4 linked regions of the Saccharomyces cerevisiae S288C genome follow. The gene in region 3 interacts genetically with the main gene of each other region. Each region holds a gene or a part of one and is shown on either strand. Other genes may lie near its edges.

Evidence for each region.
Region 1: mutations in AAD4 (region 3) and CBP2 together harm fitness more than expected from each alone (negative genetic interaction), as found in Saccharomyces cerevisiae (one large-scale study listed by BioGRID).
Region 2: mutations in AAD4 (region 3) and VBA1 together harm fitness more than expected from each alone (negative genetic interaction), as found in Saccharomyces cerevisiae (one large-scale study listed by BioGRID).
Region 4: mutations in AAD4 (region 3) and OPY1 together harm fitness more than expected from each alone (negative genetic interaction), as found in Saccharomyces cerevisiae (one large-scale study listed by BioGRID).

The regions. Positions count from the first base shown.
Region 1 is NC_001140.6:20,152-29,582, forward strand, and holds CBP2 (Cbp2p), read right to left. Parts: upstream 5,359-9,431; coding exon 3,466-5,358; downstream 1-3,465. Other genes in the region: ARN1 (siderophore transporter), read right to left, coding at 1-820; EFM1 (protein-lysine N-methyltransferase), read left to right, coding at 1,632-3,389; YHL037C (uncharacterized protein), read right to left, coding at 5,627-6,028; MUP3 (Mup3p), read left to right, coding at 6,090-7,730; putative ATP-binding cassette multidrug transporter VMR1, read right to left, coding at 7,827-9,431. UniProt on the Saccharomyces cerevisiae protein: Appears to be specifically required for the splicing of the terminal intron (bI5) of the cytochrome b pre-mRNA. Can also stimulates the splicing of the omega intron of the precursor of large ribosomal RNA.
Region 2 is NC_001145.3:439,731-448,702, forward strand, and holds VBA1 (Vba1p), read right to left. Parts: upstream 5,373-8,972; coding exon 3,684-5,372; downstream 1-3,683. Other genes in the region: SEG1 (Seg1p), read left to right, coding at 1-2,360; PDL32 (putative ADP-ribose 1''-phosphate phosphatase), read left to right, coding at 2,797-3,651; m-AAA protease subunit YTA12, read right to left, coding at 5,879-8,356. UniProt on the Saccharomyces cerevisiae protein: Transporter required for vacuolar uptake of at least histidine and lysine.
Region 3 is NC_001136.10:17,077-25,385, forward strand, and holds AAD4 (putative aryl-alcohol dehydrogenase), read right to left. Parts: upstream 1,491-8,309; coding exon 501-1,490; downstream 1-500. Other genes in the region: THI13 (4-amino-5-hydroxymethyl-2-methylpyrimidine phosphate synthase), read left to right, coding at 1-150; YDL242W (uncharacterized protein), read left to right, coding at 1,883-2,236; YDL241W (uncharacterized protein), read left to right, coding at 3,559-3,930; GTPase-activating protein LRG1, read left to right, coding at 5,747-8,309.
Region 4 is NC_001134.8:493,853-496,932, forward strand, and holds OPY1 (Opy1p), read right to left. Parts: upstream 1,488-3,080; coding exon 501-1,487; downstream 1-500. Other genes in the region: ATG14 (Atg14p), read right to left, coding at 1-263; SHE3 (She3p), read right to left, coding at 1,740-3,017. UniProt on the Saccharomyces cerevisiae protein: Binds phosphatidylinositol 4,5-bisphosphate (PtdIns(4,5)P2/PIP2) at the cell membrane. Negatively regulates the activity of phosphatidylinositol 4-phosphate 5-kinase MSS4.

The sequences.
Region 1 (9,431 bases), on a different chromosome or scaffold from region 3:
GATAATAGGACTTCTGGCCCTTCAAAGCGTGCCATTCAGGAGTCTTTCTGGCCCTCCATTGCATGTGCAACATACACAAAACGATTGGAACACATGATAGGGGAAAGATGAAAGCCCACATACCTACATCCCAAGACCAGTTGACAACAGGATTGGCTCTGGAAGTGATATTACCAGCAATCCATGTGTTGATGATAAAAGGCCAAGTCGGGACAAATTGATACAGCAGTCTCCACTTTAAAGATGAAAAATCGGATAGGATAATCAAAAGAATAAGGATTACACCCACATAGCCAGCATTGTAGAAAATGGCACCTGCAGCGTATCTTTGAACATCATAAGCTTGTGATTGAATAATTGTACCCACAACATATAGGATGACAGCACTAATGAAAAGGTATAGTCTACCAAACACATCAGACAACCTAGCGTATATGATTTGCGAAGCGGCACTGACCACAGCATTAATGACGTTGATTGTAGACAGCAGAGAATGCTCACTATAGGATGATGTGGCGTAACCAGTGTAAATATAACGGATGTTACCGTCCAGTCCATAACCGTAGCCACATATGAAAGCACTCAAAAGTAAAATCGCTTGTAAGTACCATTTATTGTAAGCAGAGCCAATGATTTCAGTCTGCTGGATAATTAGGCTCCTGTTCTGTCTCAAGGCATTGTATTTTTCAGATAACTGAGGGAGACCATATGAGTCGGAGTTGGAATCGTTATGAGTCTCAGGATTCAACTCGTGTTCCATTCCCATGAAGACATGTTTCTTTTCCTCCTTAACAGGATCGCGAGAGTGAACAGACTCCATTAGTACGTTGCTATGCAGTGGCTTGAACTACTGTCCATATATTTTTAAGAAAGAAAACAAGAGATATAGTGAACGAAAGCAAAAAGAGAGCTATCGAATGTTTCCTCCCCTATATACAATTATTCCTGAAATCTTCAGTTCTATGCATCTTGCATTACTTCATGTAAACTGTACTCCGATTTGCTTGGCCTTTTTTTCTCTTTGACACTATTTTCCTAACGATATGTGCTTGTTATATCACACCTGCTTTTATGGGTGCATTTTGATAAATTTGCAATCCCAAACAGGAAAGAAGTGAAAAAGGCCAAGACATATGTGGCTTTCTAACAAATACAGGCACACAAATTTCGTAAGAGAACAAGTCCTAAAGATGAACGTTAATGATAATATACAATTGTCTTCTCATTTCTGTTGATGGATTTTCATTCGCAGGTGTATTTTTCCATCGCTTCGTGATAGAGCTGCCAGTACGCTTCATCGCGGTCGCTTACATGCGTGATATTTAGGGGATCTTTCATTGGCTTCCGATCAGATAATATGTATCATTAGTCAGCGGAAGTTACAGGTGGAAACCCTCCCCACCTTGATAGTTGTCTTGATTGTATAGGCCTGTAATCTATTACTATTATTCTATTGGAGTCCTGCTCGTTGTTCGTTCAAGGCGAATGTGCCTGCGATGAGTTGACTATGAAAAAGAAAATTTTTCAACTTGAACTTGACCATTCCAACAAAGAAGAAATGATGGAAGTAAAAAAGACTAAGGAATCAAGCTTGGTGAAGCTACCTCGTCATTTAATTAACGAACTTCTGCATGATCACCCAAACTGAGCTAGATAACTGCTTACAATGGGCTCAAAATAATGGAGCCTTCATCGATCCGAAAATCTCTTTTAGGATTACAGAGGATGCTGGTGTTAGTGCATTTGTAAACGAAAAATTCTCTCCCAAACCCGACCAAGCTTTGATTAGGGTACCCGAAACTCTGCTGATCACTTCCCAGCAAGCTTTATCAGAATTTTCCCAGGCTGCTAATGAAAGGAGTCTTTTGAATTCCGTGACACAGTTGTACTTGTCAAAGTTGAAATTTGGCACCGATGCAGTTCACCTGAAATCCTTTTACAAACCATATTTAGATGTGCTACCCTTGCACCTTCCACAACCATATTTTTGGTCTACTGATGAAGTCATGAATTTGCATGGTACAGACGTGTACTTAACTATGAGAGATACGCTGAACAAACTAGTAAAGGAGTGGAGGATGCTGTTCCAAGCTTTATCTATTGAACACTCTTCTCAAGATAAGCAGTTCTTGTCTTTATTCCAGGAGAATAAAGACTCTGCCGTAGTGCCGTTGGAACAGTTCTGCGCACACATCAATGGATGTAAACTAGAAGATTCGGAATGGAACTCGTTCGTGGCGTATCTTTGGTCGTACTGCATCTTTAATTCTAGGGCATTTCCTCGTGTCATTTTAGGCAGGGCCGGTACAGACCGCACCAATCTGAACGAAGGATTTTTGTATCCAATAGTAGATTTATTAAACCATAAAAACGATGTACCAGTAAGATGGGAGATGAATGAACAAAATGAACTTTGTTTCATGTCGCAGACTACCACATTTAGTGCACAGGATGAATTGTTTAATAATTATGGTAATATTTCTAATGAAAAATGTTTGTTAAACTACGGGTTTTGGGATTCCTCGAATAAGTTTGACTTCTCTAGGTTGACTTTAAAGCTACCATCCACCTTAGTTAGCGGTTTGCCCGTGGATTTTAACAAATCAGGTAATTTTGTTACTGACGATGGAGAAACTACCATTTTACAATTTAGTTTAAAAATTTCTGAACCATTACCACCGGTTCTACTAGCGTTATTTGCCTACCTAAGTAAATTAAAGTCTGAAGAAACTCCAACCGTAAGGAGCGTATTGGAAGGTATTGATCAATTAACATCTGTAGTATCCCAGAGATTGCTGTTTTATAAGAATTTTAAAATTAAAACTTCTTCGACTCAAAAATTACGCCCTCATGTTATTAAACTAATCAAACTATACTATCAAGATAACAAAAAAATTCTGAACGCCACTACTGAGAAATTGTCCGTTTTACAAAAAAAAATATATAGCAATAATAAGGAGTTTTCTCTGTCATTCAAGACAATTTTTAAAAACGACAAAATATTTGCCAATTCTCTCTTACTGGTATTTGGTGCTATAAATTACGAAGATTTGATCACAAAAGACTGTCTTAATGACGCATTGTTGCTCTGGATAGTCAAATTAATCAACGATAAAAGTAATAATCAGGGAGGTTTCATTAAACAAACCTTCAAAGAAGTTAGTGATTCAATTGTCATTGAAAAAGAAGATGTTATGGAGTTTTTGCCGTTCTATAAAAAATACTTCCCTAATTTATCGGAGAGAATTCCAGAAATTTATAGTGTCGGTGATTGGGGCATAAGACAGTTCATTGTGGCAGATACTGCGATTGATAGATTGGTTTGGATCAGGAAATCAAATAAAGAGCCTATATTTCTAATGAAGAAGGCATACGACTTACAGATTTAGCTTTGATCTGTAGCCTAAGTATAAAATTCTACGTATGTATATATTTACATGCAATTTTTTCTTTTTCCAATTCATGTTAATGTTCTTCATCATTTGATAATAGGCCAATGATATTATCTACTATCTTCTCCTTTTGAGGAGAAGCTGCTTTCACTTCCTCGTTGCTTTTCTCTTCGTATAAATACATGAATTTCGACTTGTCCAGCATTTTTTTATCAATACAATGCATGTGCCCATGAAGTTCTACCTCCGACAAATCTTTAACAAAATATGTCGTTATTTGTGTCATGAATTTCAGTAGGGTTTGAAATATTTCGGGTATGGCGTTCTTCTTATCCAGAATAACAATTTTGTAGTTTGCTGATAATGTTATTGGACGAAGCTGGATGGGCCTATTTACGCGGAACTTTTCGCCATATATTTCCTGTTCGAAGTATAAAAGTTGGTTGGCCAATTTCTTTAATCCGTTTGCAGATTGTAGCGATTGTTCATTCGCAAAACCAGGTTCTATTGTTGCATTTATTGACTCAGTGAAACCCACCAACTCCATTAAAGTTGGTCTTAAATCATCTTGCATAAACTTGTACAAGTTTGGCTGGAAAATTCTAATCATTTTCGATTTTGTCAGCACGGTTTGCAAAATTAATGTGATGTGTTCAAATCTTGATAAAGTCGTTTCATCATTTTGGAAAATAGAGAATTGGTTCCATTTCATTTCTGAAATTACCAGTGCGGAATATGTTTGTAGGTCATGAAGAAAAGAGTCGTATTTTGTCTTGTAGTTGATCAGAGAAGCTTGGTCCGTGGGTATTTTCATGGACTCGGTCTCTTGATATTGCTTCCATATATATGAGTCCCAAACATTCCAACTAAATTGAAAGGAAGGCGCATTATCGTTACCAGAGAAGGAACGGATGCTTTTCTTGTTACGTTGTAAAATGGTGAATATATTGTAGAGAATGAAATTTTTGCAAAATTCAGCCCTCAATTGCCGGATGGAGAAGTCGTTTGATAATATTGTAGCTCTTAAAATGTCTCCAGGGCACGTTCTGTCTTTGTTTGATTGTTTGCTCCACAATGTCTTATGGCTAACCGATCTTTCTAAAAGTTGCTTCAAAGTGACGACATTACCACCAGCGATTCGAGTTGTGGCACTGTTTGCATCCAGATAGAATGGTTTACCCTCTTCGTTCGCCAGTATCCGACCAGCGTTAGCCTTCTCAATGCGCTTTCGTTCATTCAAGGTGCAAAGTGGCGAAGCTATCTTGGTCTTCAATTTGTCTACCTCAGTAACGAAAAATTCTCTATGTTTATCTACAAAGTAAGGGAAAATACCAATTCCATCGAATTCCCCAATCATCGCCTCATCGGAAACCTGGAAAAGAGGCAAGGGCTTTGCATTAGCTGGGTTTACAAACATGGGTACCTCACCATTATTTTGTTCCAAGAGTCTATCGTAAGTGCTCTTCTTAACCCCGATTCCCCGACAAAAGTTTGAAAATATCGACTTAGGCCAAATTACACGCTGCAGTTTCAACTTATCATCTTTGCATCGTACCCTTATTAATTGTTGCCACTCGAAAGATGGCTTGAAGTCCTCATCCATTTCGCTGAACAACTTCTCGTAGAGACTTAAGGGGTGGTCAAACATAGGCGCAATCCGTTCCCAGTGTTGGATCCTCTTCTTCGAGGATTTTTGAGTTAGATCTGTTCTAACAATCTTGAATGCGTGTTCGCGAGGGGCGTTTATATCACGTAATAGCAGTTTTTGCAAGTCCGTGAGTGAAATATTATACAGTACTCCTTCAAGATCACAATATTCATAAGATAAGTTTGTCTTCTTAAACGCTTGCTTACAGCGAGGGAACACCTGATGTGTGATATTCTCCATGTTGAACTTATACCTGTAACGAGAGGAACTGCCCTGTCTCCTCAATGAGACCATGAACAATGTTTGCCAATTCACCATTTTGGTCACTCTGTCTCAAACCTTTCCTTCAGCGCAGCCTTACTCCTTCAAGAGAAGCCTTCATTGTCCATTCACTTAAGCATAATTTGTCATCTTCAATGCAATTGAACTTTCACTAAATACACCCATACACACCAATCTTGGATTCTACTCGGCGGCAATCTTCACTCTTTCCTTTGTTTTATCATTTTCTATTCCACCTTTAGTTCCCCAACTTCACCTCTTATCGAACTATCAACACATTTGACTATCATTTTGGCAAATTCACTCACGTGAGGGCGTGTGCTAACCATGCAAGGGTTATGGCATGCGCATCCATGTGGCGTTTCCTACTTTTATTTTTACATAATATATAAGATAATTGCACATGCAAACAGTCAATCTTTTTCCTGCAATTGATGTGGAGACCAAAAGGTTTGCATCTCCTAGTACCACGATTTTTTGGTGCAAAAGTGTTGATAATGTAATTCAGGTAGAAAAGGTAGAAGTTTCCTCTAGTATGTTCACAGATTGGATTAGAAAAAAAGATCACGCGACTCTTGCCGGAAAAAACTGTGGCGTCGCTGCATATATATGACAAATCAATCATATAGATTAGAGGCCTGCCTGAGTCAAGGGGCAAAAACAATACACATATAAAGACCTGGATGCTTATCGATGATCTGTACATTCTGTTTGTAGTCTAAGTTGCTGAGGGCAACGTAGACGTACAGTGCTCAAAATAAGTAAAAATGGAACCGCTGCTTTTTAATAGTGGGAAAGCAAATCCCTCTCAAGATGTTTTCATAGATGTGGAAGTTGGTGATATTACCACAAAATATGGTTCCACAAATACTGGATCATTCAGTTCGATGGATACTGTGGAAGCGCAGGCGATAAAGGCAGAGACGGCAAGATTCATGGAAGTTCCACAGGGAAGACATTTAGGTGTGTTCTCCACGGTTGTGTTATTTGTTTCGAGGATAATGGGGTCAGGTATATTTGCAGTACCCAGTGTGATTTTACTGAATACAGGTGGTAATAAGCTGATATATTTTGCGATCTGGGTTTTTAGCGCTGCGATCGCTTTTGCAGGATTGTATCTTTTTCTAGAATTTGGTTCCTGGATACCGAAATCAGGTGGACGTAAAAACTTCCTCGAACGGAGTTTTGAAAGACCCAGACTATTAATTAGTGTGGTGTTTTCGTGTTACAGTGTTTTAACTGGCTATGCATTGACGGGATCTATCGTCTTCGGTAAATACGTGTTGAGCGCATTTGGAGTCACGGATGATTCGTGGTCCAAGTACGTCAGCATATCATTTATAATATTTGCCGTTCTCATTCACGGTGTCTCTGTAAGGCACGGAGTGTTTATACAGAACGCACTTGGTGGTTTGAAGTTGATCATGATTGTCTTGATGTGCTTTGCCGGGCTATACACGCTTTTCTTTTATAAAAGCACCGGTCAAGTTGCCTGGGACCTCCCAGTAACCCAAGTTGAGAAAGATTCTCTCCTGTCGGTGTCCTCTATTGCTACTGCCTTTATCAGCTCATTCTTTTGTTTTTCTGGATGGGATACAGTTCACACAGTTACATCAGAAATTAAGAATCCCGTTAAGACGTTGAAGGTGTCAGGTCCCTTATCGTTGATAATTTGTTTTGTCTGCTACACAATGATGAATGTGGCATACTTGAAAGTTTTGACATATGAGGAAATTGTTAGTGCAGGCCCCCTGGTTGGTTCCGTGTTGTTTACCAAACTTTTCGGACCCAGAGTTGGTGGCAAATTCATTGCTTTTTCTATCGCCATTTCTGCAGCATCTAATATTCTGGTTGTCATTTACAGTATATCAAGAGTTAACCAGGAAATATTCAAAGAAGGTTATTTACCATTCAGTATTCATATGTCCAAAAATTGGCCATTTGATGCACCTCTACCATCTATTTCTTTATGTGGCTTTATAACCATTGCTTGGATATTGATTTTACCCAAAGAGGGCGAATCCTTCAATTATCTGGTATCGATGGATGGTTATGGTAATCAGTTTTTCTTATTATTGGTCGCTATTGGGCTCTTTATTTGGAGGTTCAAACACAAGAACGAAGTCCCAGAGATTCGTGCATCTACTTTTGGAGTATTAGCCATTATTACATTATCATTATACATGTTGATGGCACCATTCTTTGCCGACCCTAGCCTAAACAGAGTTGGGTTCCTGCCGCCCTACCAAATCATGTCATTACTGGTAATAGTTGCATGCTTCTTTTTCTGGTTAGTTAAATTCGTTTTACTACCTAAATTCTTCCATTATAAACTTTTACCCAAAATCACTTATTTGCATGATGGGCTCATTGTCACAGAATGGGTGAAAAAGCCATGTCTGTGTTAGTTTTTCCTTTTCTACATAAATATTTTATAGACTACTATTGCATTTTTAATAAATAATATTCATCCTCATCTTTGAATAAAAGAAAGAAACATTCGATTATTTCATCATCTTACTTGATTGCTTGGCTATTTGCTTCAAAAGCTCTAGGCCCCCACTGTCACGACACATACTATAAAATATACCGCGTTCATCTTTCAACAGTTCACTAGGGCGATCATATTCTTTTACCTCACCGGCATCCATCACAATTATCCTGTCGTAATCGATAACAGATCTCAAACGATGTGCAATAGTAAGAATTGTGCTTTTATTAAACTCACTTCTTATAATACCCTGAATTAAATGGTCAGAATCGTAATCAATAGAGGAAGTAGCCTCGTCCAAAAGTATTATCTTTGGCTCGCGTAACAATGATCGTGCAATAAAAAGCAATTGCCTTTCACCTTGGGACAGATTTAAGCCGCCCTCAGCTATTTCTGTGTGAAGATTTAAAAATTTATTATGAGTGCTGTTAAAGCGTTCCTCCGAGTTAAGCACTTCTTCAAATTCATGTGAAGAAATTAGATTTACTTGTGAAAGTGCTTTGAATATTTTTTTTTCATCATATTCATCATATGGATCAACATTACTTTTGATTGTACCTGCAAATAGAATAGGGTCCTGAGGGATGATAGTAATGGAACGACGTAATGTAACGAGATCAATTTTACTTATATCCTGCCCATCTATTTTGATACATCCGGTTATTGGTTCTAGTAATCTGAATAATGCCGTTATTATGGTAGATTTGCCTGCGCCAGTTCTTCCGACAATCCCAATCTTACTTTGAGGATCCACTTTGAAACTAACATTTCTTATGACAGGAGGCAAATTTGGCGCGTAACGTAAAGATAAGTTTTCAATTTCAATTTCTCCATCTTTTGGCCACGATGGTTCGTTTAGAAGTAGAATGCGGCCTTCATCATGGCCAAGATAGTTCTCTTGTTCAATGCTAGAATATTCTTTTAGTCTTTCAACAGAGTTCATGTTCATTTCAAATGTTGAGTACAGTCTAACTAACCATAAAGCACCATCTGTAAACAAAATGGCATATGTCAAAGAAATGCCGGCAAGACCCGAGTCAATATTTGCAATATTGAGCAGAATAAAAGAACCTGATGCTAAAACAATGAATGCGCCAATCATGTCGACTCTAAAAGAAAACCATTTGACAGTAACTGATAAATAAAAGAATGCTCTGTTATTTTGGTCAATTTTGTTCATATTTTCTAAAATGAATCTCCTCTCGTCGCCAAATGCACGAATTGTGCAAACGCCTACCAAGGTCTCTGAGAAATGTTGAAAAATGGGTGATTTGGTTATTGAATCTAACCTTTTCAATTCTCTACTTGCCGTTAAGTACCATTTCCCCACAAAGAAATATAAAACAAAAACGATAACGGCGACTGTCAAAAAGCGAGGAGTTATTACGGTAATGAGAAATATAATTGATGCGCATTGAATTAGGCAAAATATAGTTACTTCTAAGTATGGAATCAATTCTTGATCAACACCTTCGATGTCCTTTGAAAAGCGATTCATGATTCTACCAACCGGCGTCACGTCGAAAAATCGTATTTGGGCATGTAGAACTAGATCTAGCAGATTATTAAAGATCTTTCTGGAGGCTCGCATACCGGATAAAAACGTCATCATTGTTTT
Region 2 (8,972 bases), on a different chromosome or scaffold from region 3:
GCGGGTCTATTCCTTTGAGGACTACGCGAAAGTATATTCCTGGGCCCAACGGGCTGGTTGCAATTGAGGTCCCCGTTGAAAAACCAAGCAATGCCAATACTTCTAAATTGCTAAGGCGTTCCAACTCTGCCCACAGTGCCTTGAATGCAAGAAATGGTTCACTTTTAAGAAAAAAAGTATCGCAGGAATCTTTACATTCTCAACCAAAGAAGACTTCGTCTTTAGGGAATACATCAAGTACACAAGCAAAAAAAGGCCAAAAGGCGGTTCAGGAGAGAAATCTTGCCAAGAAACATCCAATAAATTCAAATGTTCCTCTCATTGAAACACAAGTTCGTGAAGAAACAGACCAAGAGTTGAAACTTGATAATTCTAACTCTTCCGAATCCGAAACAGTAGTCAATAGCGAAAATAATCTAGAAAAACCTTCTTCACTAAACATTGAAAAAGATGATCTAAGCAAACTAATACATGAAAACATTGAGTTAGAAAGTTTTATTGAAGAAAAAGGGAAGGAAAAACCTTTAAATTCTGATCAAGAAGATGTTTTCATAAGCGAAAAAACTGTAAAAGGCGATGTACAATGGCCAAAAAATAACCGTCAAGCATCTACTCTTGAGAAAACTTTTAATTACGACAACGAAGAGAAGAGGGAGGGGAATAAACCAGTAGCAGAACATCCTCTTCCGGAGGCCGAAGTGGATGACAAGTCGGTTGAACAACTGAACAACATTTCTTCTAGCGGCAGTTATTCGGCCCAAGGATCAGTTGAAAACTCCAAACCAGAAAATGGCAATAAAAATCTAGAGAATGACACAACATCGTCTCCCACACAAGACCTTGATGAAAAATCCCGCTCAATAGAAGAGAAGGATACCTTGGAAGGGACCGAGAGTTCAAAAAAAGTTGAAAAGCCAGACAATTGTTGTGAGAAAATTTCTGGTGCTAATACTTCTTCCAAAAAAGGGAATGTTGGCGATACTAAGGATGAATTCTTCGATACAGTAGAAGAAAGCGATCAGAAAACGAGCAAGTCGAATTCCTCCAAGAACACCGATCATTCTAATCAAACAGAACCAACGCCTTCTTTGGCTCAGTATTTAAGGACCTCAAATACCTACCTTTCTCGAAAAAACCAATCGAAACAAGCTGAGCAAGAAAAGTTTCACAAGCCTGAAGCTCCTATGGTTCCTGTAACGAAAGTAGTTACACCAATCAAATCTGCTCTTAAAAAATCGTCAGGATCGTCCAACCATGACTCATCCATGTACTCTGATAACTCTCCCGCCAATGGCGCATACCTGTCTCTTACGACTGCTGAAAATACGAGATTAAATGCTCAAATGACGATGTCCGACAGCGTATCACGCAGAGCAAGTTTAAAACGATCTTCTATAAAAAGACCTCAGTCAGTAGGCCAGTTCAGAAGCATCAGATCAAATTCGCCTTCTCCCCCAGAGAAAATAAACAATAAACGCCATTCTGCTATACCCCTAGGAACCCCAGAGAAGGGTAAACCAAAAAGAAATTCGGTTATGGCTTCTCTGTCTAAAAATTCGCAGCAAATTCAAGAGCCCGCAAGTGTATATGAGTCAAATGGCCCAAATAAACCTAAAAACCAAATCAATAAGAATATAAAGAGAGGATCACAGATCGCGCAAAACAATAAACCTTCAACGAAGGACATGAATAGTATTTTGTACCCCAAAGAACCACCTCCTCGCAAATCTAGTTTTGAGAAGACGAGAAGCAATGAATCCCATCTCGGATTTAAAAAGCTTTCTTTGAGAAATGGTAATTTTGAGGAGGCATTGAGTGAAAGCTATAATGGGCAAGCTAGCCAGAATAGCACAAATGTGAATCGAACCGATACAGCACAGGAGTTTTTCAAATATTTGGGTCATTCATCAAGATTTGCGGATTCAGACTCAGAAGATGAGTCCCAATTTTTCAACCAAGGCCCATCAAAATACAACACAGAAACAGAAGGCAATAAAACCAGCGGTAACAAAAATAGTAATGGTGGTAACGGTGCTTTTTCGCTTTTCAAGAGCAAAAGTAAGCAAAAGGAAAATAATGTGGTTTCCCCTGGAGTCTCAAGTCCTAATCATACTACCACCGATCCTGCCATTACAAGTAAAAAGGTGGACAAGAAATTCAGCGGGTTATCTTTAAGAGCTGCCAGTGAAGCTGAACCTGCAAAAAATTCAAACCCTTCGATGACCAATAGGTTACGCTTCTCTAGTAATCCAGAGAACGGCGAAAGCAGGCTCCCACAAGCACAGGAAGTCAGCGTTACAAAAGAAAAGAAGGGTAGTTTCGGCAAAAAACTGAAAAAAATCTTTGGTAGAAAGAAATAGGGACTCTCGGCAGAAATTCTCTCCTTGTACAAGTTATGTATTTTATTCTTTTTCGTGCTCGTTCAACTTCTGAACGATGGCTTCCATGCACTGTAACATATAAAGGATTTTTTAATAATGAATAATCAAGAAATCTCCATTTTATATGCTTTTTTTTTTTTGCCGTTTCCACTGCAATCAATGGCGATATAATCGGATGAACAATAAATATTCGTGTTCCTATTCGTGTTCCTATACGTGTTCCTAGCAGCAAACAATAACAGAAGAGAAGCATTTGATTTTCGTAAAAACTTCAGGTGTGGGTGTTTCTTATTAACGGTTAAACTTTACGAATTGAATCCCCTATGTATAATGGTCCATAATACATCTTAAACCACCAAGCCATCTTCGTAATTTTGAACTGGGAAAATTGGGAAAACTGCAGACATTCATAATCATGACAGGATCTTTAAACAGACACTCACTTTTGAACGGGGTAAAAAAAATGAGAATAATATTATGCGATACAAACGAAGTAGTTACCAATCTCTGGCAGGAATCTATACCCCATGCATATATTCAAAATGATAAGTATCTTTGTATTCATCATGGGCACCTTCAATCTCTTATGGATTCAATGCGTAAAGGTGATGCAATCCATCATGGCCACTCTTACGCAATTGTTTCACCTGGTAACTCGTATGGCTATCTTGGAGGAGGGTTCGATAAAGCTTTGTATAATTATTTCGGGGGAAAGCCCTTTGAAACATGGTTCAGGAATCAGCTTGGAGGAAGATATCACACGGTCGGATCTGCTACAGTGGTTGACCTACAGCGATGTCTTGAAGAGAAAACAATTGAATGTAGAGATGGTATTAGGTATATTATTCATGTTCCGACCGTTGTAGCCCCATCAGCTCCTATATTTAATCCGCAGAATCCCCTCAAGACAGGGTTTGAACCGGTTTTCAACGCCATGTGGAATGCCTTGATGCATTCTCCAAAAGACATTGATGGTCTTATTATTCCTGGATTATGTACTGGGTATGCAGGTGTACCACCCATTATCAGTTGCAAGAGTATGGCCTTTGCGTTAAGACTATATATGGCGGGAGATCACATAAGCAAAGAATTGAAAAATGTGCTGATCATGTATTATTTGCAATATCCGTTTGAACCTTTTTTCCCGGAAAGTTGCAAAATAGAGTGCCAAAAACTAGGAATAGATATCGAAATGCTGAAATCCTTTAATGTAGAAAAAGATGCAATAGAATTGCTCATTCCTAGAAGGATTTTGACCTTGGATTTATAAAGGTATATAATATAAAGTCTATTTTCAATTTTTCAAGAACTTGAACTACGTTTGTAAGTATGTTTCACCAGATATAACGATAAAACAATTCCCACTGCTGCCAGGGCTATATTTGGAATATAGGAAATCAGGAATGCCTTTTTGTAGACATCAAGAATGCGAACAAATATATCCGTTGGAAAATTGGGCCCTCTCAAGTAACTCGAATCATTGATAAGGGAGTAGTACTGCTTTTTGGTGAAGTGATATTCGTCATCACGCTTGGTTTTGAACATATAATTCCATAACATGGACGACAGGCTATTCTCATAGGACACTAAAGTTAAAGAGGCACCAAGAACGTTACCAATGGATCTCCACAAATAGAAAACACCAGTCATGGTTCCTTGCTGTGATTTTTCGACGGTGAATACGATGCTTACTAACGTGGCCACTAATAGACAAGCGTAACCAAAGGACACAAGGACTGATGCAAACACATATATCAATTTCCACCATATTGAGTTAGATCTGAATGTAATAGACTCAAGCATATCATATATGGTGTAGTCAGGATTCAAGTGTGAAAGTAGGAAATAGCCCAATCCCAAACCCAATAGCTGCATTATCATACCACCAAAAATGATTTGATATGCACAGTGTGCTAGGTTAATTTTCGTATTCCGCAATACCCATCCTGTTACCAATGATCCGACTGCAACTGATATAGAGGGGAAAATCAAAAAGAGGCCAGTCTTTGTTACACTAATATTTTGAAGCAATTGTAAATAGATTGGTGACCTAAAGATTTCACCAAATACAACAAATGAAGATATAACCGTTACCGCTGAGCTCAAACAGAATGAGCGAGTCAATAGTTCGAATGGTAAAATTTTCTCAGTCGCGTAATAACGTTCAACCAGGATAAAAACAATAAAGCTACCAATGGTAAACAATGCTAAATACAACTTGTTCAACTGGCTAGAGCACAAAAATAAAACTCCACTAATGGTCGCCACCAGGCTTAATGAGCCAAATATATCTATCCGTGACAGATTCTTTAAGGTATATCTTTCTTTCATAGGAGGAACATGGAATAGCTTAATATTAATGTTTTTGATTGCTAATACCGAGCACAACATTATCACGGGTACTTGGATACCAAAAAGAGCCCTCCATCCAATGGTTTCTATAAATACACCACCCAACGGAGCACCTAGTAATTGACCAAACCCGAAAACAATATTCGCATATCCCTGGTAAACGCCCCTTTCTCTTGCTGTACATATGTCACTAACAGCAATGCTACTAATAGCATTCAATCCTCCTGCACCAATACCACATATGGCTCTTGCTATTGAGAATTCCGTGACGTTTCTGGCAAAACATGTTAATAAGCACCCAAGGCCAAAAAAAAATTGAGCGGTTAATAATGCTGACTTCCGCCCTGTTATATCAGAAAGCTTCCCATATAGTGGTTGGAAAGCCGTATTTGTCAAAAGAAAACTCGTCGCAATCCATTGCTTTTTACTTGATTCAGAGAATTCCTCAGCAACTCTATTCATTATATTTGCGACAATAGTGCTATCCAAGGAACTCAAAAAACTACCCAACCATAGCGAAAACAAAATGGGAAACTTAGGTAAGGCCAAATTATATTCATGAAATTTTTGTTCCAAGGGAGGGGCTTCAGCTTCCTCAGGTGGAGGGAGTAGATTTGAAGTCTCGTCTAGTGTTTGCATTCTTCTTGTTCCCTCAACAACTAGGGCTCTGAGCTTAGTGAAGAACAAAGAGGAGACAAAAAACAAAATAATTCGATAGAAAAAAATCGCTGCTGTATTCTTATATTTTGGGAATGTGGGTTGGCCTAAAGTGGAACCGCATGCTCTTCTCTATCACCGGCCCTTAAGATGACCTACGTTTATTGTCGGACAGATATCATCCAACAAAACGACGCAGTGAAAAAGTGTATCATGCGAATACTGAAGATAAGATAGGCTAAGCCGTGGAATCAGCGATAAAAAAAAGATCGCGTGTATTAACCAATGACAGCCTCACAGAAGCGCTTTGATCATATATAGATATAGGTGCATTTATACACGTATATATATTTACATGTTTTCAGATTAGATTATATGGTAAATACGTGACAGTGTTCTACCGAAAAAGAAAGATGTCTGGCTTTCAATAAAATAAGCAAGATATGTAGAACAGTCTTCCTCCATTTCTTTGTATTGTGAAATATCAATCAGTTTGTAGATGGCTTAGGCTCATTACGTTTTTCGTTTTTTTCTTCTTCCTTCCTGATTTTTTCCGTTTCGTAATCGTTCAAGTACTTATCAAAAGCATCATTCCTTTCTGGGAAAGGGCGCTTACCAAGTAAATCAATCATATCTTCTCTTGTCAAAACTTCTTTTTTCAGTAGTACTTGAGCAATCTTCTCTACATCTTCTGCTTTTTCTTTAAGCAGCTTTGTACATCTGTCATGGCATTCTTGGACGATTCTGTATACTTCGGAATCAATAATGTCACCTGTCTCGTCCGAAAATGGTTTTGTCAAATCGCTATCATCTCTCTTCTGGTAATTGACCCAGCCAATTTTATCACTCATGCCTAATTCTGTGACCATTGCCGTGGCCATGCTAGTAACTTTTTTGAAGTCATCAGATGCGCCACTTGTAACTGATGGGAAATGTAATTCTTCAGAAACTCTTCCACCCAGAGACATGGTCATTCTGTCCTTAAGTTGCTGTTCAGTTAGTAAGAAGATATCACCTGGCAAATACTGTGCATAACCAAGGGCGCCCTGGCCACGTGGAATAATACTGACTTTCAGAAGAGGATCTGCGTATTTTAAGTACCATCCACATACAGCATGACCAGCCTCGTGGTAAGCCACTACTTTCTTCTCTTCGGGAGAGAGTAGCTTGGATTTGCGTTCCACTCCACCGATGACTCTTTCGATAGCTTGTTCAAAATGATTCAATTTTACTGCATCTTCATCACTTCTAGCAGCAATCAAGGCGGCCTCGTTACAAACGTTGGCAATATCAGCACCAGAAAAGCCTGGCGTCAAAGCCGCTAATCTATTTTTCAAATCAAAAATTTCCCCGGCAAGTTTCAAATGATGTAAATGAACAGCAAAAATGGCTTTTCTACCCTCAAGTTCGGGCTTGTCGATATTGATATGCCTGTCAAATCTACCAGGCCTTAATAATGCTTTATCGAGAATATCGGGTCTATTGGTACCAGCTAAAACAACAACGTGGTCAGCTGGAGTGAAACCATCCATTTCTACTAACATTTGATTTAGCGTGTTCTCTCTCTCATCATTGGCACCTGAAAAATTACCCTTTTGTCTTGCTTTTCCTATAGCATCAATTTCGTCAATAAACACAATTGAGGGTGCATTTTCTCTTGCAGTTTTGAACAAATCTCTTACTCTTGCTGCACCAACACCAACAAACATTTCTACAAATTCTGAACCAGAAACAAAATAAAACGGAACACCGGCTTCACCTGCTGTTGCCTTTGCAAGCAAAGTTTTACCGGTACCTGGTGGACCAGATAGAATCGCACCTCTAGGAATTTTAGCTCCCATTTTTTCATAACGAGAAGGTTCTTTCAAGAAGCTAACAAACTCCATAATTTCTTCCTTAGCCTCATCGCATCCGGCAACGTCCTTGAACTTGATCTTAACGTCTGTTTCAGTGTTAAATTTTTTAGCCTTAGAACGACTCAGACCAAATATGCCTCCACGGCTACCGCCCGCTGCTTGTGCCGATCTTCTTGTCAACCAAATAATACCTGCAATCATTAAAACAGTTGGCAAAATTTGGAACATAGCTTTAGCCCAATTGCCTTCTTGAACATATAGTACAGGTATTCTGAAATCCTTATCAATGTCCAGTTCGTCCTGTGCTTTCTGAAGTTTGTGTTCGAAGCTATCAATTGAACCAATTGTGAAATAATAGAAGTTGCGACCGTAATTGTCGGCTTGGTTTTTTCCGTTGTCATTTAACATCACTTTCACCATGGACTTGTTGACAACAATCAACTTCGCAACATAACCTTTTGCCAATAGTTTCTCTCTAAAATCCTGCCACGTTATCTCACTTTGCTCTTCCAAACTGTTGAGGAGATCCAATAAAAACGAAAGGAGGAAAAAAGTTAGTCCTATCTGGAATAAGTTAACATTTTTCGATACAGGATTACTAGGATCATTTAGAGGTGGTTTTGGGGGAGGAGGTGGTGGTGGCGGTGGAATATTTCTGCTATTGTTACCTTCAAAGTAGCCCTGCTCTTTTGTTCTGTTTGACTTGGCTTTTGAAGGACCATTTTCCTCCTCTTTTTCCTTTCTTTCTTCTTGAATTCTGTTAGATTCTTGTTTCAATACAGCATCTTCTAAACGCCTAATACTTTCATCAATTTTGCGTTTCTGTTCTTTCCAGTTAGCCGGTATAGTATTATTTTTAGTTTGTTCGATATATTTTTCTACTTGTTTTCTTATTGCTTCAACCTCTTCGTCTGTGGGAATTTCTTTGTTAAGTTTAGCGTCTTCGTTATTGTCCTCGTTCTTGTTACCGCTCTTATTCTCTTGCAGCCTATTGAGTAGCCGATATTGAGTATGTAAACTCTTGATATGGGTCAAGCCGTAATAGGACCGGAAGCGAACGGGCCTTCTAACTACCTTAGTAGCAATTCTTGACCAAGAAAGTAGCAACATTAGTACTCTTTCTAACTTTAAAGTTGCTTGCCAAGACTCTTGAGTGTGCTATATTGTATTCGTTGGCAGCTCAAAATCTTTCCTTTAAAACTATAGTGGCAAAAGTTAGAGATCGTTTTCACGAGAAAATGATGGGGAAAAATGGACCAAAAGACAAATGTATTCACAATGTGACACCAGATAGCTTGGTGATTAGTATATAGATCTTACAGGACACCGAATAATACCAGAAGGGACTTTCTTATTGAACGAACCGATATGTGCATGCGTTATCCTATAAAGAAATACGTCCGGATGGGATATTCAAACAAGACGCCGGACAAAATAATTCACACATATGGAGGATGTTACGTACATGAGCACAAGACGAACCGTACAAAGAGAAACATACATCATCACTCAGACGATAAGATCATAAATTAGCAGATGACACTTTAGTTTATTCTCTTTGGTAGGTTTTCTACAATCAGAATTATCTAACGGCGAACTTCTGTAGGCAGAGTTTTCGCATCGCCCAATGAGATAATGCACTTTCAAAAGACCACGCTGCACTTGCATCAAATTGGTTTACGAAAGAGCAAAGTCGAGGATTAGCACATTCCGTGTGCCCATACGT
Region 3 (8,309 bases):
GACTATGTCTCGAACTACACTAATGAATACCTGTCCTGGCCAGAACCAGAAGAGGTTTCTGATCCTTTGGAAGCCCAAAGATTGATGGCTATTCATCAAGAAAAATGCAGACAGGAAGGTACTTTCAAGAGATTGGCTCTTCCAGCTTAAACGCACTTCGTCACTCCTCGAGCGTAGCCTTCCTCTACGACTTGTTTATGATTTCCCATTAGGTTTTTTTTCCTCCCTGATATTTAGATATTTACTATTAAGATATTATTTATGAGCCTTTTATTACAGCTTCTTTTCCCTTGTAATTATCGTACTTGCCTCCAAGTATCGAAAGTCTTGTGTTGCCTCGATTTACCACTTCAAATGCTGTAACCTGCACAATTTACGCCTGAATTAGGTGAGGGATAAAGACTGTTTTTAGGTGCGGCTTATTCAAAAGTATAAAAGTAGATAGCGTGGAATATATAAGGACATATTTCTTACACAAACGCACCAAAAAAGAAATCTGATTAATCGAAGGAAATCTGCGCAGACATTGCCGTGAGAAGTGAAGCCTTCTTGGTAACAGCCGGATCATCACCGATAAAATTAGTAGGAAAACCAACATCAAAAGGAATAATACTTTCTAAGTATTCTATCTGTTCTGGTGTCAGTTTGATACTTAAAGCCTCAATGTTCTGTTTGAGGTGTTCAATTTTCCTTCCACCAACCAATGGGAAAACATTTTTCGCCTTAGAGCGAACATAGGCAATAGCAATAGCAGTAACAGACTCAGTGCCATGTTCCTCAGCAACCTTGGCCAATGCTTCACTGATCTTAACCTCTTTATCCGTCTGTTTAGAAGTACCCGAAACAGTACGCAGACCCTCTCCATTCTTCTTCCGTTCCTCCATTGCTTTTTTACTCTGAAATCTTCCACCTCCCATAACATCCCATGGGGCTAGAGCCATACCAAAATGTCTGGCCATTGGAATGATATCGCGCTCAAAGTCCCTGTTCAACACATTCCATTTACCTTGATAGATACTAAAAGGAGTTTTCCCATGAGATGTGGCGTAGTAGTTTGCCGCAGAAACAACCCAAGCAGGTGTATCAGACACACCCAAATAGAGGACTTTGCCCTGCTGAACTAAAATATGCAAACTATCCATAACTTCTTCGATTGAACTCATATAATCCCACCAGTGAACGTAAAGTATATCAATCCAATCAGTTTGCAATTTGCGGAGAGAATCCCTCACACTCACATGTAAACTATGCTTGTGATTACCACAATAGTTGGCACTTTTACCGCCACCTACTTCATACTTCTTATAATCTCCGGTAAACTTGGTGGCAATTACAATTTGGTCACGCAACTTTCTTGATTTCATCCATTCACCTATCCAAATCTCTGACTCTTCATTTTGGTAACTGTTTGCAGTATCAATGCAATTACCTCCTGCTTCATAAAAAGCATCAAGAAGTTCAAAAGCCTGTTCCTTATTCATAGAGCCCATAAAGCCTGACCATGCATCGCCGATTGAAGCTCCTCCCAGAATTAGCGGTGAAACTCTTATGCCGGCAGTTTTAGAAAGAACCCTGAGACGTCCCAACTCGGTAGGTGGTTCAGGTAGAGGTTTAAATAATTCACTAATATTATTGAATAATATTTTGTAGCTATAGGAAGTGTATTCTAGTGAAATACAAAGCCGCTCAGTCAATTCGTCAGCTGGCCGATGAAAGGAAGAACTGCAACTGTCCTTGATCTGGAAATATTGTCATGACTTTTATATGGTTCAAAAATCTGCCCCCAATTTGTTCGAGGATATTTAGTGCAACTTAGTTGGGTCTTGGAACGAGGTCTGCTTACTAATTTTATGTTGACGGTTGAAAGCGGATTTTAAAACGTATGAATTTAGAAGAGAGCCAATCAAATAGGGGTACGCTTAATATTAAAAAAATATTAGTAATTGTTTGTATGACGAATAAAATTTGTAAGCACCTGATCCAATCCTTATTATTGAGCAAGAGACGTCTTGTTTCTGTACTCTTTGATAACTATCAAGGCGACATGAAACTAAGGTCATCTCCATCTGCCATTCCTCTAGTTCCGTCAACGAAAATTCTTCAAGCTATGGAGGCCCGGAACGACATTGTTGACAGTCTGATCATCAATAGTCACGCAACGGAAAGTGATCGCCGGACTTTAGGAGACCATGAGGTTAGACAATGTGAGGATACCAACTTCGGCTTCAAAATTTGATACAGGTTAATTTTGAAGGCAACATTTAGGTTCGGCCTTATTTAAAAAAACCTTCAGGTACGCGTTCAAGATCCCATTTTAAAGGTATAGGCAGATTGCACTATTTTACCGGCAAATGTGCGAATATCGAAACTGGAAGATGTTTTCAAGAAAATTGATTTAAGATCCATTTGTCGTGTTTAGAGTTCTCATTGTTCTGGTCAATGATTTCAAACTCAAAAGGCACAAGAAACTTACAAAATTTGTTTCTTATGAACATTACGCCATGTTCTTTGCGAGCATGTGCTATACAGTCTTGCTAGAAAATGGCCCTATAATTAGAAAGCTCAAAAAATAACCCAATGCTGCATCGATTTTTGGAGAAAGGGGGTCAATCATCATCTATCTTCATAAATAACGAGTTGCAGAAAAATTGGAAACTGGTTGATTTTGAAAAGTTTTCATTTTTCTGGCAACAAATTATAGCTACAAAAAAAGAAGTTATGGCGCATAAGATGCATCAATATATGGTGTGACCAGATTGGACGTAACTAGTACTCATGTTATTATTCATATCCTTCATTTTTCCTTCTTTTCTTCTCCTTCTCGAACAGTAACTTCAGATTGAAAGACGTGAGGATGCTTTAGAATGCACATTAAAATTAATATACTACTGGCCTCTTGTGTTTGTCATTGGCTTCTATTTTCAATAAAACATCCAGACAACCCTGCTGTTAATTTTGGAAAAAAAATTTCGCCGATTCTAATCATGTGACTCCTTTTCCCCAGGCAATACCGGAGAAAGCGTTCTATCTCAAACTATATAATTTGCGCTGCTCGTCTCCAAGCCCATGCTAGTGTTTACTTTCGGTTGTAAAAGGTAACTAGAAGTTTTAACGCAAGCATTGTATTATATTTTCCCACAATTGCTCTTAAGGACCTTTTTTTTTCTTGCGTGATCCTGCACTATTGAAAAGTCTTTATCAAAAATAGATGAAACTTTTTCAGGGTTCAACATTTAGAGGCTTTTCTCATATTCTTTACTCAGTTGCCTGCGAAGACCCTTCTGCCCGCTGCGCATTTTCTTAGAAAATCAAAAAAATTGCCTTTTCATCTTTTACCTTCCGAGTTGAATATGTTGACTATTTGCAAACAGGCGTATGATTGTCGTATATAACAGGGCACTTTCGGCAGTGAATCAATAGGAGGCGTATAAGAAAAGCCAATTAGTACCTATATATATATATATATATATATATATATATATATATTCCTTTATTATAATTCCTATCAGCGATTTTTGCATCACACCCAAGAAAAATCTATAATAGAGACACAAAAAAATGAACGTAACTGAAAATGCTCTATTGTTTAAGTGCGGTAGCAAGGGCTATATTAATCAAACCTATACGCCGACAGAAATTTATAATTGTGGGGTAGCTGAAGGAAAGAAAACTGCTAAAGAAAAGAACCCAACTTATTCAATTTTTTATGATACATTTCTCACTGGGCAGCCTGCTGAAAGTCCTGAAACGTTTACGTGTGGTTCGCATGGCTTCACAAATGCGAGTTATGTGGCAAGCGACTTTTATGCATGTGGTTTTCTGCAAGGGAAAGGTACAGAAACCAATGCGGGAATACATAATACAAGGCCTTCTCATTCTCTCGCCAAATTTACCATACTGTTCATGCTAGTGTTGTATACAATTGTCTAATTCTCAAGGTATGACACTTTGGATTGGTGGTCGCAGTAGCCACCATATAATTTTTTATCGTTTCTACATATAATACGAGACAGTCAGACAGAACTTTGGGTCGCCTGAGAAGAAAGACTATAAAAATGTAACCCGTCAGTAGGACTCATCTTAAAACAGTGGGTAATTTACTAAGGAGGCTGGAAAAACTGCGATAATCGGCTTATAGTACATATATATAGAATAATCATTAATCGAGCCTTTACCGCGAAATTCATGGATTTCTCAAAAACAAAGGTGCAATTACATGTTAAGCACCGAATTTCTATGCGAAACAGGTCCGTCTCATCAGTCATAGCTTTCCAAGTATATAAAACTTGAACGCAAAAGTGCGTCATCGACGCCTTTTTTTGCGCAAGGATTGTTACTATTCATTTAATGAACTCTGATGTCTTAATAAGCCAATGGTATCCATAAGTGAAGGTGAAGTCTACTGTGTTACATTAGCAAGTCAGAACTCCTATACGATACAGTATACTGCATTATGGGCACTAAAATAATTTAGATTATAGAAAATATCGATACTATGCTTCCACTTCTCACGAAGCGGCCATGTTTTAAATGAAGTACGTTAACGCTAACACAAGGCTTGACAACTTTCATGAGCGTCAAATAGTCTACGTGTGGGCTCACTTTTTCAGATTTCTTCTTGGCTTTTGTGAGATGTATAATTAACAATAATCATAAAATCGCTACATAAAACAAAGCATAAAAAATTACAGATTTCCTGTTCAAAAATCAAATCGGTCCAGTTCAGCTATTGTTCTGCCGTTGTTCATGCTCAGAAAATTGGACCATGGTGTCATCTAACTTTAGTTGGTCCCATTAAGCTCTCTTCTGTATATCATGTTTGCCATATTGTCATATCATCTGCTTAGTATTAAACCGTTGTGGAAAACAAGAAAATTGCGAATTACTAGTATAGAAAATGCATTCTAAGTCGCCTGTGATTCCAATAGCAAAGAAATTGATCTTAATGGAAGTAGGAAATAGCTGTGGCAAAGAGACAGGATACTAAGATTGGTTTAAGGCGAGGTCATACTTAGCTATTTCCTTCACCAACATTGGTTTTCGAACAGTCAAGAGATGAAAACGCAAAAAAGTGCACTATAAAGTAAATACTCAAACGTTCCCAAAACAAAACGAGAAGAAGCGATAGGCACCTCAAAACTGAAATTATGGGCAAACAATATAACCCGTAAAAGATCACTTTACGACCAGAACATAATCAACATGGGTGGCCCCCATGTTGTACTCAGTTAGCTTTTTGAGCTAGCAAATATATCAAGAAGCCCGCATGTGCTACTTACGTTTGAATTACTTCTCGTTGTAACGCACTTTTCTACAACGTACCTCACTAGTAAATATAACTTAATGCTTGCAGGTTAGCCCATCGCTACAACACCTCCCCACAAAGTATTTACTTCAAGAAATCGATCTTGGCGAGTATATCCTTATCTTTATGTAAGTATCTTTTTCGTCTTCAAAGTATGCCGGGTATTGATGGGCACGGAAGATGTAAACAAAATGGAAAACAAATAAGAACAGAATCTGAAACGTCATTTGAGAATTTAAAATATGTAAATCATTCCTCTCGAGCCAACCAAGGCTGTTCTTGCTAGAAACCAGCAATTGGGCTTCTCATTCAAAACAGTATCCGTCTTTGCCTTAACATTGTTATTTGGCCTTTATCCCAGATATACGCAACCGTATTTATTCAAATCCAAAGAAAAAAAGAGCAGACAAATTATCAAACAACAAGTACCGGAGGTGAGCAATGATTCAAAATTCTGCTGGTTATCGATCGCTGAATACTGCATCTCCGATGACCGTGCAGGTGAAGAATCAGAAGAAAATATGCGCCCGTTGTAACAAGTTAGTTATACCCGATAGCCAACGAACTAAAACAACTTTAAAGGCTCTCGGTAAATATTATCATGAAAGTTGTTTTACCTGCCAAGACTGTCAGAAACCTTTAAAACCGAAGTACTTCCCATATCAAGTAGACAAGACAAGTGAATCTATATTGTTATGCCAATACGATTATTTTAGAAGACATAATTTGTTATGTCATGTATGTGATACCCCATTGCGTGGATTATATTATACCGCATTCGGTTACAGATACGACGAAGAGCATTTTTCTTGTACAATATGTGCTACTCCTTGTGGGGTTAAAAAATGCTTCATGTACGGAAACCAATTGTATTGCAAGTACCACTTTCTCAAGTATTTTTCGAAACGTTGCAAAGGGTGCGAGTTCCCAATATCGGATCAATATATCGAGTTTCCTAAAGGTGAAGAAATACATTGTTGGCATCCGGAATGTTATGGAATTCATAAATATTGGCATGTAAATTTAGCAGCAGAAACTGTTGGTTTGCAGTACCTTCCCAAGCTGGAATATAACCCAAATTCCGGAGACAAAGATATAAACCCAACTGCCTACGAGTTAGATAAACAAATGCAGGCGTTTAACTTTATTCTATCTAAAACGTGGTCGGTTTTATATCGTTTTGAGGAAGAGGCAGCTTCTTGCATTTCTGATATGTTTCAATATTTGACAAGCAATGATCAGTTAAAGGGCATAGAGTCTACGGGTCTGTTGGTACTAAAAATCGACTGTCTTTTCCGGGGACTGGATACTTTAAACCTCTCGACGAACAAAAGTATGCCAGTTAACAGTGATCAAGAATGCATTGAAAACAACGCAATGGCGGCCAGTAAATACAGCAAGTTTCCCAAAAATCTGTCCACAAAAATTATGATATATTTACAACTCTTAAGAAAGTTAGGGACAGAAAACAAAAACGAAACTATCACAATTTCATCTTTTATGTCTGTTATTACTGGATTAGCCCATTTTCTAAAACTGTTAACAAGATTTGGGCTATATACGGCTCTAGAAAACAATAAGTTGACTCATTCTGTTAATCCATTGTTGAGGTTTTTAAGAGAAGTAGAGAAAAATGAGCTTTTTGAAAATAACCCGTTTCAGTATATAAAGACTCCTGTTAACGCCACAGATAGTTGCGCTGGATGCAATAAATACATACAGGAGGAATGCATTCAATTTTATGAGCACCGGTGGCATATTGCTTGTTTTACTTGTTCTTCATGCCATAAGAATATAAATCCGAGGAGTTTGACGGATCCCACCTTTAATAAAGAGAAAAAAAAGATACTATGTTCTCACTGCTCAATTGATGATCCGGCCTCTGTGCCGGGTTTCAAATTTGTTACTAAGCTAGCACAACTAATTTTTCTTCTAAAAATTGCCCTAGTCAAATCAAGAACTGTAATGTTGAAATCGAAAGCATCTAACAAGGTAGGCAGAAACTCTTTACAGAGTACTATGCTAAAGGAACAAACTTACATTAGGACACTGAATGATATTAAAAGATTGAGATCTAGAAGAGAAAGTGTTCGGGTCACTCATAACAAACAACAAGCTAGAAAATCAGTGATACTGGAAACTGCAGAGACAGATTTAAATGACCCGACAAAACAAGGAGATAGTAAAAATCTTGTGATTCAAACAGATGACCCATCATCGAGCCAACAAGTGAGCACACGTGAAAATGTTTTCAGTAATACTAAGACGTTGACACTAGATGATATTTCACGTATTGTTGCCGCTGAACAAGCAAGGGAGCTAAGACCTAACGCTTTTGCACACTTTAAAAAACTAAAAGAAACCGATGACGAAACTTCGAATGTTGTTCCCAAGAAAAGCGGAGTTTATTACTCTGAATTAAGTACGATGGAACTCTCGATGATAAGGGCTATCAGTTTGTCACTGCTAGCTGGTAAACAACTGATATCGAAGACTGATCCTAACTATACTAGCTTAGTCTCAATGGTCTTCTCGAATGAAAAGCAAGTCACAGGTAGCTTTTGGAACAGAATGAAAATCATGATGAGCATGGAGCCTAAAAAGCCCATCACTAAGACTGTTTTTGGTGCTCCTTTAGATGTGTTGTGCGAGAAATGGGGTGTTGATTCCGATTTAGGTGTGGGGCCAGTGAAGATTAGGATCCCCATAATTATTGACGAGCTAATATCATCTTTGAGGCAAATGGATATGTCAGTAGAAGGTATTTTCAGGAAAAATGGAAATATCAGAAGACTGAGAGAACTAACTGCTAACATCGACAGTAATCCAACAGAAGCTCCAGACTTCTCGAAAGAAAATGCAATCCAATTATCTGCTCTTTTGAAGAAATTTATCAGAGAGCTTCCCCAACCGATTTTATCGACAGACTTATATGAACTATGGATTAAGGCCGCGAAAATTGATTTAGAGGATGAGAAACAGCGTGTTATATTGCTAATATATT
Region 4 (3,080 bases), on a different chromosome or scaffold from region 3:
TTATTCTTTTTCATTCGTAAAACATCTAACTTCATGAGACTATTCATCAGGGGATCTTTCTTTTTCTCCATCCTCTTGATATCTAACTGGTCATAGTTCATGGCCTCGTTTAATATTTGTTCGACTTTCCCGTTAAGTTCTTTATTCTCATCCTTTAATAAAATTAAATCTAGTTTTAGCTTCAGTAGCAGACTTGGGCTCGTATTGATACAATGTGCACAGTACACTACATGCGCTCTATGGTGGCAAATTGGGCAATGCATGTCATACTAGGATTCTAGTTTTTAACTTTTACTTCCCTTTTTCTCTACTCGTTATCCTTCTAATCACTTTTGTATTTGGTCCTTTCCCTTAATTTTCAGCGAGGAAAAAAGTGCTTATTATCATTAAAATACAAATAAATAAATAGTTTTTTAACTAGACGTAAGGAAAACAATTACACGTATTATTTAATAGTACAAAGAAAAAAAAAGTCAATACATATTCATCATTGGCATTGCTTATATATTTTCGGCCTTTAATTTTTTTCTTATCAAAATTCCACTCTTGAAATTTATTATCCAATCCACCATATCTTGATCGTTAGCGGCTTTAAAAGATAACCTTTCATCAAATGTAATTAGCGCAAAATTAGTGTCGTCATTTTTCATCTTCGAATTATTATCAAGTTCAATACAATCGATAATTTTATCCAATTTAATGCTTTTCTTTAACTTCCCAGTCTTGAAAGAGTATAAATTGAACGAAGTATTAGTCAATTCCACATTGAACTTTTGCCATTTAGCCCTATTGAACAGTTTCTTCTTTTTCACTTTTGTGTAAAGAATCCCAGAACAAACCTGGTGCTCTGCATTTCTTGGATCGAACATCCTATAAAATTCTTTATCTTCACGAGACAGTTGCTCATCCATCGTCAAACTGCAAGAATGCTTGCTGCTAGAAGGACCCGCCTTTTCGTCAACTACAATTAAATCATCATCATCCTCTTCTTCATCATAATCACTACCTGTAGTGACACTTTCGTTGCCACTAGGACTAGAGAGGAATTTTTCAAGGGCAATTTTCCAATTATGCATCAGTTCCATACCAACCTTCTCATTTTGCCCTCGTGGAAATTTGAATATTAAATCCTTGGATGGAGTATAAACAGTTAATATACCATCGAGCTCGCTTATCTTAAAATTAAGTATGTCAAATCTCGGTATGACACTTATAGCCTCTCTTTCATCCCGAGTTTTGTAATAGGCAAATTGGTTTTTCCTCAAGACACACCAATATTGATGGTCTGTTGTCCGAGGCCACCATAAATGACGATGGTGATGATGGTGATGATGGTAACCCTGCGGTGCACCATCAGCAGCTCCATTGTTACCTGAACTGGATTGAGCTGTCGGCGTTTTATTTTGAGACGTTGATGGCTTCTTGATGAGATTCGATGCGATCAAAATTTCATGCTGACTTGACGGAGCAGTCGCACCTGCTATCATTGGTCTTATGAAATTTACCAAGGCAAAATTAGCGTAATTATTTATGGTTAATTCACCTACTGGCTACTATTGCGTACCACATTTTGGCCTGTTCGTTTAATTTCAGCCACATTATAGTAGAGAAAAAACCGTTGTGAGTGACCGAAAGTGAAAAATATGGATTCGTGTCTATAAAACCTTAGAGGCATCTATTTACTTTTGTTCTATTATCTAAATGAATCCTATATATATACTCCCTTGTGTCGGCATATTCTAGGATTGGGCCCCGTGAACAACCATACTATTTCCCTTTTTCTTATGAGTGGAGGAAACAGTTCTTGTAACACCGGGAGGCACTGAGATTGTGGGAGATGTACTTGGATCGTTATTATGCGTTACATTTGTTTTACTACTGCTCGAGCTTGGTTTTCTTACTGAGGCAGTTCTTTTAACACCAGGCAAAACCGGGGATGCAGATTTTGGAATAGAACCCGATGACAGCAAAGGCGACGCAGTATAGAAACTTCTTCTTTTATTGTTACTGCTATTACCATTGGAGGATGAATCGTTTGTGTTCGGCGTCTTTCTTAATTTGACCATCTTAATAGGAAGCATATCCTGTGCATTATTGCTACTCAAAGCGTCAGCGTTGTTGCTTTCCACCTGGGTTTGTACATTCTTCTTCAAGGTTTGTACTACCGCGCCTTTATTACTAATCTTCTCATCGTTTCTTTTCAAGACGTCTTTCAAATCCATCTTTTCAGCAAAAGTTGATATCAGATTTTCGTTCGTCTGGTACAGATTTAGCCAGCTTTGTAGATTTAACTCATCTAAAGAGTGAGTGATTATCTTGCTTAATTTTGAATCCTTTTCTGTTTCCAGAGATTTCAAATCTTTCACAGAGTCATTGAATTTATTTAAATTCAATTCTATATCTGAATTTGAACTAGTATCTGAACCATAATTTAAATTTTGATTACTTAACTCTAACTCCAACAAACCGATTTTTTCATTTAATTTGGAAATTTCATCAGAATAGTGGTCTCTGTAAAGATTTTGTGACTCCAATAATGAATTATAGTTAACTTCCATATTTTGCAATTTTTCAGAGCAAGATTGTTCAATGGCACTAGAATTTTTCGCCAATTTACTCAATTGATCCATTTTCTCCTTTTGTTCATTGTAACGGTTACTCAATTCGCTATAATCTTTCTCTAGCTCTTTTAGCTTCTTGTTCTTTCTTTCAAATATCGAGTTGAGATTTTCGTTCTCGTTCTTCAGCAGATTTAAATTTTCCAGTAGTTTTGATTCTTTGGATTGTGCTAATTCCAATTTACTCAATAAATTTTGAGATTGCGTAGTCAATTGTAGATTTGTTTTTGTCAGCATATCAATCTGGTCATGCAGTGATTCAATGACTCTCGAAGATGAGGCATTTTGGCTGGAGGTATTTCTATCTTTTGTGGGGGAACTTTCCAAGTTTGCCATAAAAATATTATGGTGAGGTGCCAACTTGCTTGAAGAAGTCTGGGTATTATCCTGGTCCGACATCTTACACAAAAGTAGTGTCGTTGAACCTTGGCGTGCTTGATAGACGAGCTAACGTTTGGTAAC